Linked DNA regions of Schizosaccharomyces pombe. The gene in region 2 interacts genetically with the main gene of each other region. Each region holds a gene or a part of one and is shown on either strand. Other genes may lie near its edges. The genes, in order: car1, sod1, alg5 and crr1.

Region 1 (3,766 bases), on a different chromosome or scaffold from region 2:
TTTTCGGATTGATGGCTCGTCGCACTTGTCAAGTATATAAGCAAAAATAGATAAGATACAAACGATGGCTGTTATGCATCCGTGGGTGAAAGTGAAAGAAAAACAAATTATTAATTCTTACCACGGAGGAAAAATCTAAAAAGGTATCAAAAATAAGGACGATGGTTATCTTTTTTTCGTTGTATGATGGAAATTGACAATATTTTTTTTTTTACAGTTATTTTTCTCGTTCATTAGCTAGCGCTGACAGAAACTATTAGTACCTCAAAGTTATTTTTTTTAATATTATGGTAATGGTATTGGGGTTCAAATTTTAAATTTCAATTAGTGGGAAAATTCGAATAGAAAATTTCATTTTTGTTAAGACATTATGAAAAATTTGAATTACAAGGAGGAAAAAAACGGTTTATGGTTGGTAAAAAAATATTTTGACGCTTCATAAATGTACTAAAAGACCATCAGTTTAATTGAAAGAGTAGTAAAAGAATTACTTAATTGAAAGTTAATATTGGTCATAATTATAATATTTAGTCAACAGTCTAAAGCATACATTTCGGGTTCTTAGCACCTAAGCAATTCAATTCATGTGAAAAAGTAAAATTCTTTCTTAAATAGTCTAGTCAAGTATCTGAGAACCAAACAGTAACTTTGCCCAAGTTTGTCGGTACAGTGTCTGAATTATGAGATTTTGAGTTTATTAATATACTTGTGTGTTGGGACGTTGAAAAAGCACAGTAGCTAATCCGACGCGTAACATACTTCTAATTCATGATATAGCATAAAATACATGGTTCTACAATAACGTTTGACCAAGACAAGTTCGAACAATAGAGCGAGCTAAATCCACAGTTGTCTTGGCTTCCTCTTTGTTGCCTAAAAGTGGGTTAACTTCCATAACATCAACAGCAACTAGAGAGCCAGTTTCTGCAACACTTTCACAAATGTACATTGCTTCACGAAAGGTCAAACCGCCTGGCACACGGGTTCCAGTAGCTGGAGCGACAATTGGATCACAGGCATCGACGTCAAAAGAAAGATGAATGGGACGTCTCCTTCCTGGATTGATGTGTTCCAATGCCATTTCTACTACTCTGGCTATTCCATATTTATCAACATCGTGCATAGTGTAAGCAGTGATGCTGCGTTCACGAAGAAAAGCACGTTCCATAGGATCCAAATCGCGCAAACCGATGAACGCAAGACGACGCTCTTCAATTACTCTTCTTGTCCAAGCAAACTCTTCAGGAAGAGGTTCGGCATATCCCAAGGAAAAGGACAATGGGCAGCCATGAAGATTCTTTGAAGGGGATGAATCGGGGGTATTAATATCAGCATGGGCATCAATCCACAAGACACAAGCATCATCGTAGACAGCTTGTACACCTTCAACAGTGCCAATGGCAAGTGAATGATCTCCTCCAATGTTGACCGCGATCCTTTGCTTCTCTAGTTCCTGTTGAACAATATTACGAACTTGGCGAGTAACATTGCTAACGTAGAGTGGGTTTTTCATGAGGGCTTGATTAGGGCCTTCTTTTAAAGGTCGACTTTTAAATTTGGGATTTTGAACGACGTTGACACTATAACCAAGACGCTCCAAGTCTTCAGGCAATCCAGCCGCCTCAATCATTTCTGGAGCCAATTCAGCACCGTCCTTGGGTTGACCGCCTGAAAATGGCATATTTATGATAGAGACGGCATTTCCCTCCATGTATCTACTAGACATAATATGTCTATGTACTTCGGGTATTTTATGAGGAGACATTGTATATATTTTTGATTCAGTCAGGTAGAAACGATGTTGTGTATAGCAAAGGACCCTTTGAAGTAGATGGGAGGTTGCGAAATTTATGGAATTCCGTTTTTCATGCCGATGACGGCTTTAATAAATAGTGAGCGTTTGCTTACTCAATAGTCTTTGAGTATTTTATCTACCGGCCGTTATCAGATCTTGCGGGCAATCATATTAGACTCATCAACCTAAAAACGGGATATTAATTCCACGGACTCAACATTTCTATACTCCGTAACGATAGCTCGGTTCACTATTATTAAAAAAAAAAATAAATAAATAAATAAAATAAATCAAACGAAATGAAATAAAGCAAAGAAAATAAATTAAATAAAAATAAAGTAATTCAAGAAAGGAAAAAATCACACTATGGAAAATTAATAGAAATAGGACGTAAAATCATAATATACACCCAACCCCTCTGGGAATATTTTCCATAGCCATTTTTTGAAACAAGTCATATTTACCATGGAACGGAAAAGATCGAAACTAAGCTACGGAATTCCATGGGTCAAGTGACTTATTTTCGGAATTGTATTGTATTATAGCATGATAGATGAAATTTTATTCAGACGGTAGTTTGTTTTGTATTTACAAGTTTAATATGGAGAATATCTGATGAATAACTTATATTTTTTGAACATTGTAACCAAAAAAGAAAAAGAAAAAGAAATAAAAAAATTTATTAAATTGATTGAATATTTTGTAACGATTATTGTAACATTGGTATAGGAGGAATATAAAAATGTTGGTTTTTAAATGAGTAAAGGATAAAAATTAATTTAACTAGCAACAATATCGCCAAGATTAGCAAGCGAGTTTAAGAAGCTATTAAAGCTATAATTGACGTTGTGCTAAAAGGTGTTGTAATGTTATCAGTTTAAGGAAAATGTATATATCTTTTTGTCAAGTTTAACTATGTTTTTATTAAAAATAACAAAATTTATAATTTCTACTGGTGTGCTGCTGACCTCTGCTCGATTTCCTTAATTTGTAATAATTTTTAAGGTATAAATTTTGCAACTTAATTATCTCTCTCAGTAACGCATCAGTGGTGTAGCGGTAACATCAATGCCTTCCAAGCATTAGCTCCGGGTTCGACTCCCGGTTGATGCATCGATTAAATTTTTGATTTTGTATTGGAATCGATTTTTATATTTTTTAGTTTTTTTTTTGTTCAACGAGTAAACAATGCTTATGATGATCAAAGGAAAGCATGCTTCTTTTAGCAATAATTTGAAAAAGGGTGAGACTTAATTTCGGTCATTAATCCGCCGTGGATAGCATGGATATAACTAGATTATTATCACCCATATGCGTTTGGCAACTATTAGGTGAAAAGTATTTAATGTTTATTTTCATCCTCAGGATTTCAAGTTATTAAAATCTGTTATAATAAGTTCATCATTCAAATTAAGAAAATTCAAACAATTAGTAACTGATCGAAAAACAAAAAACGTAAAGCTCCCGGCGGGACTCGAACCCACAATCCCTTGATTAGAAGTCAAATGCCCTAGCCATTAGGCCACGGGAGCAACGTGATTTATTTAAGTATTAGCAGTATATATTGTAATTGCAAATATGTATCAAACCATCATAATTTCATAAAAAACCGAAAGGGTAATGAAAATATAGAAAAAATTAGGGTTATGATCTAGCTAAATAAATATATCACTAGATTACTGATCAACACTAAATAAAAAAATGATCTATTGTGTTGTATACCGTCATGTCCATATTTTTATTGAAATGTCAACCGATCTATCAAAATTGACACTACATGATCTAGACATGCTGAACACGGTCTACATGCCGTGCACAAAAACAAGTAAAAAATCGAATAACACGCTGCAATTGTGTCATAAACGAGTATTCTCATGACAACGATTCATTGTTTAGAAGACAAATTTGCAGTAAGCATTTCCACATTGTTCGGTATGATAGAAACCAGTATCTAGAGATTTTTGAACCCTT
Region 2 (2,927 bases):
CTGCGGTGAGTTTTCCTTGTGGTCTATTATATTACAATACACAGGTTGTATAAGTAGCAACTGAGTATAGGTATTGTATTAACTGGGCTATAATGTTACCTATCACTAATATAGCTCATAACTGAACTGAGGAACGAGGTTCAGTTGTAACGCTATTTATAATATTTCTAAATAGTTGTTATCAACGGGTATCTATGTATATAGACGGATAGTTACCCGTGATTATCAATAAACGGATCTTAGCTAGTATTCCAACATATGACATATAGTGATACGCAACGTAGTGTATCATAGCGTAGTGTAGTATTGCTGACATATCGTAATGTACCCAATTACGGTAGAATGATTAAGAGAATTGTATTTAGGAATATACCGCCTTTAGTATTATGCGAAACGCTATTTTTTGTAATGAGCCATTTCTTTCGCGCACTAGCAAAATAGTCTCATATTGCTACTTCACGAATAGCAAAAATAAGTCATATAAAATAAGTAGCTCAAGGTAATTACTGTTTTCGGCATAATACTTTATACATCTTGGCAAATTTCTTATATAAACAGCGTCCCCCTCAGAGAACTTTTTCTGTTTTCTACCAAAATAATATGTAGGTAGATCGATGGATAGAAGCGATTAACGTATTTGCAAAACAGATCATCAGGATTTTTTTTAACTCCAAAATAACCATAGTGTCACTCGCTTCCTAGTACAAAGCATTACTATGGTTATGTTATTTTATTTTTTAAAAGCTCAATGATATTATCAGCAGTTGTACTTGCGATTCTTTCTCAAAAATGCATACTGAGAGGTTTGTTCATTATGGGAAAATTATGAGTTCACGAATATTTCTTTCTAGAGCGAATTTTATTATCCTCCTCACGTCGATTGAAGCTTCATAACAATTTGACTGTTACAAGCGATTGCTCCTAACAACTTCCGTGAACGAACGGGCTTTGCAAGTCTACCGACCGGCCTTAGGCTCTTCACACCTAGACTCAAAACGCTAATCTATATACATGTAGGACTTTTATTCTGCGAACTCTAGTGGGATTTACTGAACCAAATGGGGGTTTGATATTTTAGCTAGTCTATGCATTTGAATCTCTATGCAATGTTTGTCTACTCAAGTTTCCCTTTCTTTGAAGATCTTTACCCCCATTAGCGACCTTACTTCAACGTGGTCATTCTTACCTTACGCTAAATGTTTTAACGTCTACGAAAACGAGAACGACGATTGCTATTACCGCAACTTTAGATATCGTTATTTATTCTTCGAGTGGCGCGTTATCATCTTTAGCGGAATTTCAATTCCGCGAAGGAGCACGTAATATGATTACGAATACTGGTGGAGTAAGCCAACGCCAAGCTGAGGTGATGCTCGGCGTAGCTTATTGGCCTATTTTGGAGGCTCGAAGGCACGGACTAGACAATGCTTTGTAAAGCAAATTTGTTAAATCGATAAGTATAAAGACAATTTCTTCGTTTTTAGAATATAAAAAAACATTGGTCATATCGAAAAATTGATTTGAGTTGATATCGTTAAAATTTCATGTATATTCCGCGTGGAGCTATTTACTATATAAGCGATGACACGCCGCCCTATCCTCTTCCAATTCCAAACAAAATTTTCGAAATCTCCAACTTTGAAGTGTGGTTAAAATCTTATTGATTTTCCTTCAAAACACTTAATTACTCAAAACACCCCTTCTCTTGTTGTATTTTTTTAAAGTAAATTATCGTCATACAAAATGGTTAGAGCTGTAGCAGTTCTTCGTGGTGACTCTAAGGTCAGTGGTGTCGTTACTTTTGAACAAGTCGATCAAAACTCTCAAGTTTCTGTGATTGTGGATCTCGTTGGCAATGACGCTAATGCCAAGCGTGGTTTCCATATTCACCAATTCGGTGATAATACCAACGGTTGTACCTCTGCTGGTCCTCACTTTAACCCAGAGGGTAAGACTCACGGTGACCGTACCGCCGCTGTTCGTCACGTTGGTGATCTTGGTAACTTGGAAAGCGATGCTCAGGGCAACATCAAGACTACTTTCTCTGATTCTGTTATCTCATTGTTTGGTGCCAACAGCATCATTGGCCGTACCATTGTCATTCATGCCGGTGAGGATGATCTTGGTAAGGGTACTAGTGAAGAGTCTTTGAAGACTGGTAACGCTGGTGCACGTAACGCTTGTGGTGTCATTGGTATTGCCGTCTAAATTTATTGAGTTTTTACGTCTTTTTGTTCAAATGGCTGTGGGTTTAGGTGTTGGTTAGTATTGTTATCATTTAGTTGAGTGATCTCAAATTTCTTTTTTTTTATGAAAAGTTCCGTATATTATGCTTCTATAGGTTCTGTATTAAAAAACTTAATTTAATTGATGATGATAAGTACTGTAGCTTTGTGGAAGCTGTTTGTTACTATTATGTTATATGTGTAAAAAAATGTAGTGATGTATTTTTGTCCTTAAGACTCTGCGTTCGAGTTTACATAAAATTCAGTTAATTAGAAGGAATTGTTGTAACTTTGTTTCGGTATTGATAATGAAGAAGCAAAAGCAGCAACAATTTTTGATCTTTTAGTCAGAAAACTTTGTTTTGCATCGTTGAGTTCGTGCATAAAGATGATAGAAAGTGCTTTTCGTATTGTTTAAAAAAAGATATATAGAATGTTGATTAATAGATACACACATAGTAGCAATATCAACACATCTTGTTAAAATTCTAATGGGTGAAGCCTTTTTTTTTATTAATCATAATACCATCGTTTCATCTTTGTTGATTTTGTTATTACTTTTACGTATCAATGAATTTTTACGAACTAATTTCAACTAAACAATAACGACAGGCAAGTTTGTGTAAACTGAAAACATCTGCACAAGTTGTATTTTAAAATAAATTTTATTCTATAAGTCTAAAGGTTCACATCCAGTGTGAA
Region 3 (3,925 bases), on a different chromosome or scaffold from region 2:
TCCTCCCGTGTGGAATATGTAGTTGAAAAAAGAAAATTGTAATCGCTCTGATTATCTTGATTTCGGTTTTATTACTGCTGATAATTATACTGCGTTGTCTCACTGATAAAATCAAAAAATCTCATTTGCAGTATAACTCATTATATTTTTATCACGCTAGATAGTGCTATATTTTTTTAAAGAAGCTATACGCAATAGCGCTGTATTCAAATTTGCTATGGCAAGTTGAATAATGGGTAGGTAAACCATTTAATTTACTATTGCTAATGCTGAAGTTTAAATGGACGGAACTATTTTTCTGTTTCGTACTTCATGTTATGAAAATTATTTAGTTTCATCTTGCTAAGATTTATTGATGCTGACTTTACAATAAATATAGACGGATACACACGCAACAACGTTGAAAACCAAACCTAGGTAAATATGTTCTTGTGGTTGCATATATACAAAAAAGTTGAGTTTTGGCTAGAGACTCGGTTGAAAACTAACAGCTGCGTAATAATAACAATACATCTATTATGTTCCTTACTACCACGAACTGTGAATATTAAAAAGAATTTAATTAGTAAATTTATTAGTCAAGTAATTTTTCATAAAAAGAACGTCATAAGTACATATATGGGGAAATGAGAAGTATTTACAACATTGAAAAAAAATCGAGCAAGTAGAAAATCGCTTACTCAAAGATAGAATATTCCGCTTGGAGATAAAACAATCAATAAAAAAGGAACAAAGAGTAATAGGAAACGAACCGCCTAAAAATTCTTATGTATCTCTCATAATTTAATTATATCTCAGGAAAAATGTATAATGAACAATAACATCCACAACAATACGTCCAATTAAGTAATACGCTTAGCCGAGGGCCTTTCCCATATACCAAATGTATAGTTCAACCGAATTACCAACAAATCGATTGCCATTGAAATACTGTCTTTCAAGAGAGTCATTTTACTACCGCCAACTTCATGCCAAGTAATGGGAACTTCAATGATAGGTAAACCGAAAAAACGAGCAAGTGTTAATACTTCAATATCAAAAATCCATCCTTCAACATGCATACGAGGGAAAATACTTTGATATGCCTCACGAGAAAAAAGCTTGAAGCCACATTGCGTATCGCCAATCTCCCTGATCCCTAAGATTTGTAAAAGTTTGTGAAAACAGTGCATCAAAAAGTTCCTAATAAATGAGCGCTTTACTACTGCAGCCGTGTTCACCATATGAGCACGCGAGCCAACAACGACACCACCCCTTGGTCCGGGTGGCATATTTTTAAAAAGGAGCTCCAAATCAGAAAATTGAGAAGCACCATCTGCATCAGCAAAAATTGCATATTGACCTCTAGCGTACAACATGCCCCAAGTTACCGCACCGCCTTTACCACGATTCCGTTTGAGTGAGCAAACTCGTAAATGATCCCGCAAATCCAGTTTGTTAGAAAACTCTAGCACTGCATTCACCGTCGTATCCTTACTCTCGTCGTCAACTATAAGGATCTCCCACCGACGTTGTCCTGCTGAAGAAGAGGAACGATAATATTTTTCCAAGTGATCGACTGTCTCTTGGAGCATGTTTCCGATTCGTTTAGACTCATTATACGCGGGAACAATGACCGTTATTTGTATATTATCAGAAGTGCTCCACTTCTCAAGAGTCAAACTTTTTTTTTGACCGTTCTCAATGAATACACATGTTTCCTCTCCTTCCAGTTGCTTCCTCGGGCAATGAGAATGAGTTAAATAATAGTAAACCTATATTTGGGTTAATGAATATTCGGGGAAAAATTTGGTCTAATGTCACATCAAAAAATCGAAAGTACAGATAAACTAAACAGGTTCTGCCCGCAACGACCTTATTTACCGACGGGTGGACATGAATGAGAAGCATGCTAGCTAATATTGCTTACCAAGAACAAAAGGATAAATCCCGCAAGGCAGGTGTATAAAACGATGTATACTACCATGTCGTAACTATGCAAAAAGCAGAAGGGTTAAGATTTATGATATTGGAAGAAATAACTCATTCAAAAAAAAAATTACTCCACTCCGTTTATACTCTAAGCTATTTTTTAATGAAATCCGAGCTTTTGCAGTTACAAAGCATGCGGTGGGATTATTTGTGTTTGGCTCTGGCTAACTGCCGACTGGACTGGACAACAGTAATCGTTTAGTCATAGCAGACGAATTTTTTAGTACGAGTTGGTGAGTAGCAGTCAACAACTTAAAATGTCTACTTTTACAAGCAATTAAGCATAGACATATCGATTACAATAGACTCTCATTGTTGCTCAACTTCTGATAGATCACAAAAGTCAAGCATACTTGTTATAATTATATAATTATTTTGACTATTTGGGAGACATTGTATTAAAAGAATAGGTGCCTTTACTCTTTCCTAAAAAACTTACATGACTGTAATTCTGCGTGGATATAAATATTTTTTCATGGAACATCGTATGATATATCTTACGGCTACTTAGTATTAAGGGCGCAAGTTGTTCAATTGCCTTAACCTTTTTGAATAGGATGAACTACAGGTTTGGCTGGGTCATAAAATATGTCTTGAGTATTCCTTCATTTGTAAATTGATAAACTAAAACACTTAACGTTGAAAACACTTGTTTAAAATTGGCTTCAAGTCAATTAATTGTAAATTTAAGGAAACTAGCAAGTAATCATTATTTAGACCAAGCGCCTGTTTATTTAACATTATTACACCTTTTCCTTATCGATTCGTTTATCTTCGAAAGTTGATCTCGCAGAGTCCTGATCCATGAAATGACTTTTTATAAAACATTAGCCTTTGTAATTTTTTTAATAAATTCATCCTTTTCATACATGATTTTACTGAAATTACGGTTAAAACTGTTATATTTATATAAGATAACAAAAAAGTCTCGTTGTTTGAATAGCATATTATGAAGTACCCGTATACCAAACTCGGTTATTGATTACCGTTCAATTAATGTTGTCTAACAAAATACTAAGCAGACCGTTAAATTAGGTTGAGATAAAAGTTTATAAACTTACCACTTCTCCTTTCACCATAACCGAATAGGAAAAAAAATCTTGGTATTCAAGTGTTTTTGGGTAACTTTGGAATTTAACAAATTAGCAAATATAGTTGCTTACCGTTCCTGGTACTAAAAAACCTAAAATTTTTATTGCTGCGCAATACCGTTAGTTTTGGTTTTTTTTCGTAAAAACTTTCTGGTTTTTCGATTTTTTGTTTTTCACGCTTAAAAGAAGAGAAGCTAATTGTATTTGCTTACTCAACACAAAAGCAAGTAATTCATTCTTTGTGTTAAACCTTACACTAATCTGCTTTTGTCAAAAAATTTTTTTTTGGTTATTTAAAACTCCTACCATTGAGTTTTGTTAGTTACATCTTTGAGAACTCAGTTCTATCAAAAAATTTAGTTTCTTTCATTTTTTCAAAATTTGACTATCAATCGTTTGATAAAAATGGAATCTCAATCTCCGATTGAATCAATTGTCTTTACTGACTCCTGTCATCCGTCTCAGCAAGAAAATAAATTTGTTCAGCTTATTTCAGATCAAAAAATTGCAATTGTTCCCAAATTTACGTTGGAGTGTGGCGACATCCTTTACGATGTTCCCGTTGCCTTCAAGACTTGGGGTACTTTGAATAAAGAAGGAAACAATTGTCTTCTTCTTTGTCATGCTTTAAGTGGTTCTGCTGATGCTGGAGATTGGTGGGGTCCTTTACTCGGTCCTGGTCGTGCGTTTGATCCATCACATTTCTTTATCGTATGCCTTAATTCTCTTGGTAGCCCATACGGAAGCGCCTCTCCTGTTACATGGAACGCTGAGACTCATAGTGTTTATGGGCCAGAATTTCCTTTAGCAACCATACGTGATGATGTAAACATCCATAAACTTATTTTACAAAGATTGGGTGT
Region 4 (4,276 bases), on a different chromosome or scaffold from region 2:
GACAAACAATATGCTTTAAGCAGCAACTTAATTGTAGTTTAAAATCATATAGAAATACTTAAAATCAATGAGGGTTTGCACTTCAGGATAATGGTAAATGAAAATCACACTTCACGAAAATAAAACGCGTAAACCGTTAATCTTCAAAACTAAATAATACCGCTCAAATTACGCTGTTTTTCCGCTAATGTTCATAAGGGAAATGTTTGAATTCCGTAAAACTGTTAAGGATGCGCAGGGTGATGGTAAAAGATTTGATAGTATATGTTTATTTTGCAGAAATATTCGCCTTGACTATATACAAAGTACTTTTATAAACTAAATAGTGTTAGAAAAGTATAAAGAGAAGCTTCGATAGAAAATTATTTCAAGGTTAAAATGAATAACTCGTTGCATCAAATTAGTTTGAGGTGAAAGGAAGGATATGATTCGTAGAACTGCTAATTCTTCCTGAGAATGGTAAATGAACGGAAAGCGATTTTTGCAGTTTGAACACGATTTGATACATGAGAGCAATACAGTAATATTGTATATACAGATGGAGATAAGATTTGGTTGCGATTTAAATGGCAATGAAATAAAGATCTAATAAGATAACCATTAGTAAATTCTTAGCGAACCATGCTTTCCCACCTGCTAGTAGAAGATGTTTGCAATTCAGTAAACAAAGGTTATGAAAGTCACCAGTATAGCTAAATTAACAAAGTTAGCTGATCAATAATATTGAAATCTCATTAAATTACGATGATAATCTGTCTCTTCAATGAAATAAAAACTTAACACTGTGTAGATATTACGACGGCATGCAAAGAAACTGGAAACAGAGACAAGATATAGAGTTTACTAAAGTATTCAACCTATTCAGCGAATTTTAACAAATTCTTTTTCAATTTAGTGAGTTTACTTTTCAACAATTTTACAATTCATCAGTGAACTCTATACTTTTAAATCATTTGCAGTGAATGAAAATAGATCATGGATAATACTCGTACTTCGTTTTGTCTCATGATAATTTAAATACAAAAAGTTGACTTACAGTAGATAAACGTTAATCTACATAATAAATCATTGATGCAGGTTCAAATACTTCTTTCCCCTTCCAATGAATGAAGAAATCCTTTTGTGCTTTAGCCGCACTCAAGTGAAAAAACTCAGGGAAAAGAAAATAAAACGAAGAAAATGGTGATCTTCTTGTTGACGATTTCCTTGGCAAATTAATAAAACTATGCAAAGCGATTTATTAGTTACATGTATACACTAAGGCCATTGCACTATTGGACACGAGGGATCAACATGCCTTGCCTTTTTGGCAATACAATCACATTGCACTCTTTATGAATGTCGTCTACACAATATAAACATATTAACGATTTGCATTGAAATGTCATGTTATGATCAAATTATAATCTTATGCATGCCGCTTCAGATAATGGCTGGTAAAAATTATTATAAAGAGTTATTTGTTTAATAAATAACAATGCAAGAATTAATTACAACACACTGAGACAAGAATTCTCTGTTTATTTTTATAAATTTTTTTATCTATAAAAGAAGTATAATCGCTTTTAAACTCTTGCTTAATGCTGCCGGTTTGATCGGTATTATAACTAATTGACCGAGAACATATGACGAATAGTGAGAATTACTGTAGCGTAACATTTACTAGCAGTAAGCTTCCTTCATAGAATTTTTCAAAAGCACAATCGTGGATTCTCCCACTTACGTGAACGGATTTTGTCTTTTAGTATAAGCCACAATTTCTGGTATCCGCATTCGCAGCCATCATTTCTCAGACATATATTTGCTTTAAGAAGACCCAGTATTTGGCTGCATTAGTATATAATCGCATTTACATGTAAAATCTTGCCTAGTCAGTAAGATTACAGAATCGTTCTTTTAGAGAGGCTGATTTCATAAGTCTGTGTATGTGCGTGTCTATATACTGAAATATATAAATACACTTATAATTAAAGCTGGTTGGCTTTTTATCCTTTCTTTGTATATCACTGCATATTTTTTGTCCATATTATAAACTCCCTATCTATCGTCTTTCGATAATAATTATTTTCATTTTAAACCGCATTTCTCATCTCTACAAAGCATTATCCCATATTTCCCTTTTTTATTCCCCTTTAACAAGATATCCTTGAGTTTGGTTATTTTTACTAGCATTTTATTTCCATTTCTGAACTTGGTGCATAGCTCACCAGATTGGCATTTTTTTATTTGATCGTGTCTCATTACTTCCCGCTCTTTTTATTCTTATCTTTTCTTTCTTTTTGATTTTTCTCGCCCTTCTTTAATTTGTTGAAATTTGATTAACTTTTATTACTTTTGCAATGGGTATTCCTGATTCCACTACAGATTCACGCCATAGTCTCTCATCTGCTGCGTTGTCCTCTGCTAGCTTTGAGAATATTTACGACCCGGCACGCAAGAACGAGTCAACTAATGATGTTATCGACAATCATACAGACACTGAAATTGATGATCACGATAATGACCATGAAAACCTTGATAGCAATAATAATAACGAAAACAATGAAGCCTTTAACGAAAAGGCTGCAGAGAAAAAGTTATTGCCTTGGTACCGACGTTACTTTATTTGGATATTAATTTTTATAGTCGCTTTAATTTGTAGTGTTCTCATTGGTGTCTTGGGTGGTGTCTTGGGACATCGTACCGCTGTACGAGATCGCCATCCTTCTTACAAAGCTAAAACATATAGCCTTGTTAAAGAATATAAAGGCACCACATTCTTCGACGGCTTTGATTTTATGAACATTACTGATCCCACCCATGGCTTCGTACAATACCTTGACCGTAACAGCAGTGCTAAGCTTGGTCTAATTAGCGCGAATAGTTCCAACGTCATTATGGCCGCCGATAGTAAGCACAATTATAGCAGTGGTCGCCCTTCTATTCGTCTTCAGAGTACCCAGTACTTTGAACATGGACTCTTTATTTTGGATCTTATACACTTGCCTTATGGTTGCGGCACATGGCCCGCATTTTGGACTCTTGGTGATGACTGGCCCAATGGTGGTGAAATTGATATCGTTGAAGGTGTCAACGTGGGTACTAGTAATCAAGTCACTTTGCATACAGGTGACGGTTGTGAAATGGAAGATATCAAGCGAGTTATGACTGGTACTGCATTACAAACTAATTGTTGGGTTGATGCTCCAAACTCGTATAATGCTGGCTGTGGTGTTGAAAATCCTAGTGGTCCTTCTTATGGTGAAGCTTTCAACAAAAATGGAGGCGGTGTATTTGTTCTTGATTGGCGTAGTGAAGGTATTCGATCGTGGTTTTTTAATCGTTCTGAAATTCCATCTGACATTACTTCTGGTTCTCCCCAACCTGCTAAATGGAGTGAACCCGTAGCTGACTTTCCAGATACCAAATGCGATATCGACAAAATGTTTTCAAAGCAAAAAATATTATTTGATTTGACATTTTGTGGTGATTGGGCAGGTTCTTCAGTTTATTCATCAGCAGGATGCCCCGGTTCGTGCAACGACTTTGTTGGTAATAATCCTCATAATTTTACTGAAGCATACTGGAATATCAAAAGCTTGGCCGTTTATCAATACTAAACCCCCTTCTTTTTTCTTTTTGATGAATTTTCTTGATTATATAGGCATAACATTAACATTGCATGCGTGATATCATCTCGATATATTGTGTGTAAATAAAATACATTTTGATTAGAACTTGAAGTAGAGAAACATTTTTTCGCATGTGTTTAGCAAAATGCGTAAAATAGTAATAAGCCTAAGTTTTGTCTGAAATTATGCGAGCTTGAATTTTTTAATAACTTGTGTTCTAATGCCATCGTTTACAAAGTAAATTTCGGTCTTAAAATTTCAATAAATTCACTACGCTAATTGATTAATAATATAGGGTTTAGGAATATTCATATAAGGTACTCTTCAGAAATATCAAAAGGTTTGGGATTCGTATATGTTGTAAAAACGTTTGTTCATTTCTGTTGCAAAATACATCTAAGGGCGGTTTAAGAAACCAACGCCAGAATAAATCACTTGCTGAGAAACAGAAGTAGCACCAGAAATTTCAGCAGGACCAGGCTCAATACCACTCTTGGAGTATCTGGTAACGACAGCATATAGGCTAGGATCATCCAAGGAATGAATAATCAAACTTGTGTCAGCTTTAGGATTAACGGTGAGCTGTTGCTTAAGAGTAGCAGAATCGCCAGTATATTCGGTATACAAAACATAGTCCTTGGCATCTGGGCCTAAGTTGTCCTTAT

What was found.
Region 1: mutations in sod1 (region 2) and car1 together harm fitness less than expected from each alone (positive genetic interaction), as found in Schizosaccharomyces pombe (one large-scale study listed by BioGRID).
Region 3: mutations in sod1 (region 2) and alg5 together harm fitness less than expected from each alone (positive genetic interaction), as found in Schizosaccharomyces pombe (one large-scale study listed by BioGRID).
Region 4: mutations in sod1 (region 2) and crr1 together harm fitness less than expected from each alone (positive genetic interaction), as found in Schizosaccharomyces pombe (one large-scale study listed by BioGRID).

Annotation. Positions count from the first base shown.
Region 1 is NC_003423.3:323,398-327,163, forward strand, and holds car1 (arginase Car1), read right to left. Parts: upstream 1,834-3,766; 5' UTR 1,766-1,833; coding exon 794-1,765; 3' UTR 547-793; downstream 1-546.
Region 2 is NC_003424.3:1,002,280-1,005,206, reverse strand, and holds sod1 (superoxide dismutase Sod1), read left to right. Parts: upstream 1-1,606; 5' UTR 1,607-1,743; coding exon 1,744-2,208; 3' UTR 2,209-2,369; downstream 2,370-2,927. UniProt on the Schizosaccharomyces pombe protein: Destroys radicals which are normally produced within the cells and which are toxic to biological systems.
Region 3 is NC_003423.3:4,090,369-4,094,293, reverse strand, and holds alg5 (dolichyl-phosphate beta-glucosyltransferase Alg5), read right to left. Parts: upstream 2,138-3,925; 5' UTR 1,967-2,137; coding exon 1,910-1,966; exon of another isoform or gene 1,755-1,909; coding exon 843-1,754; 3' UTR 542-842; downstream 1-541. Other genes in the region: homoserine O-acetyltransferase Met6, read left to right, coding at 3,468-3,925.
Region 4 is NC_003423.3:1,656,509-1,660,784, reverse strand, and holds crr1 (glycosyl hydrolase family Crr1), read left to right. Parts: upstream 1-1,708; 5' UTR 1,709-2,339; coding exon 2,340-3,599; 3' UTR 3,600-3,728; downstream 3,729-4,276. Other genes in the region: SPOM_SPBC21B10.08C (uncharacterized protein), read right to left, coding at 4,008-4,276.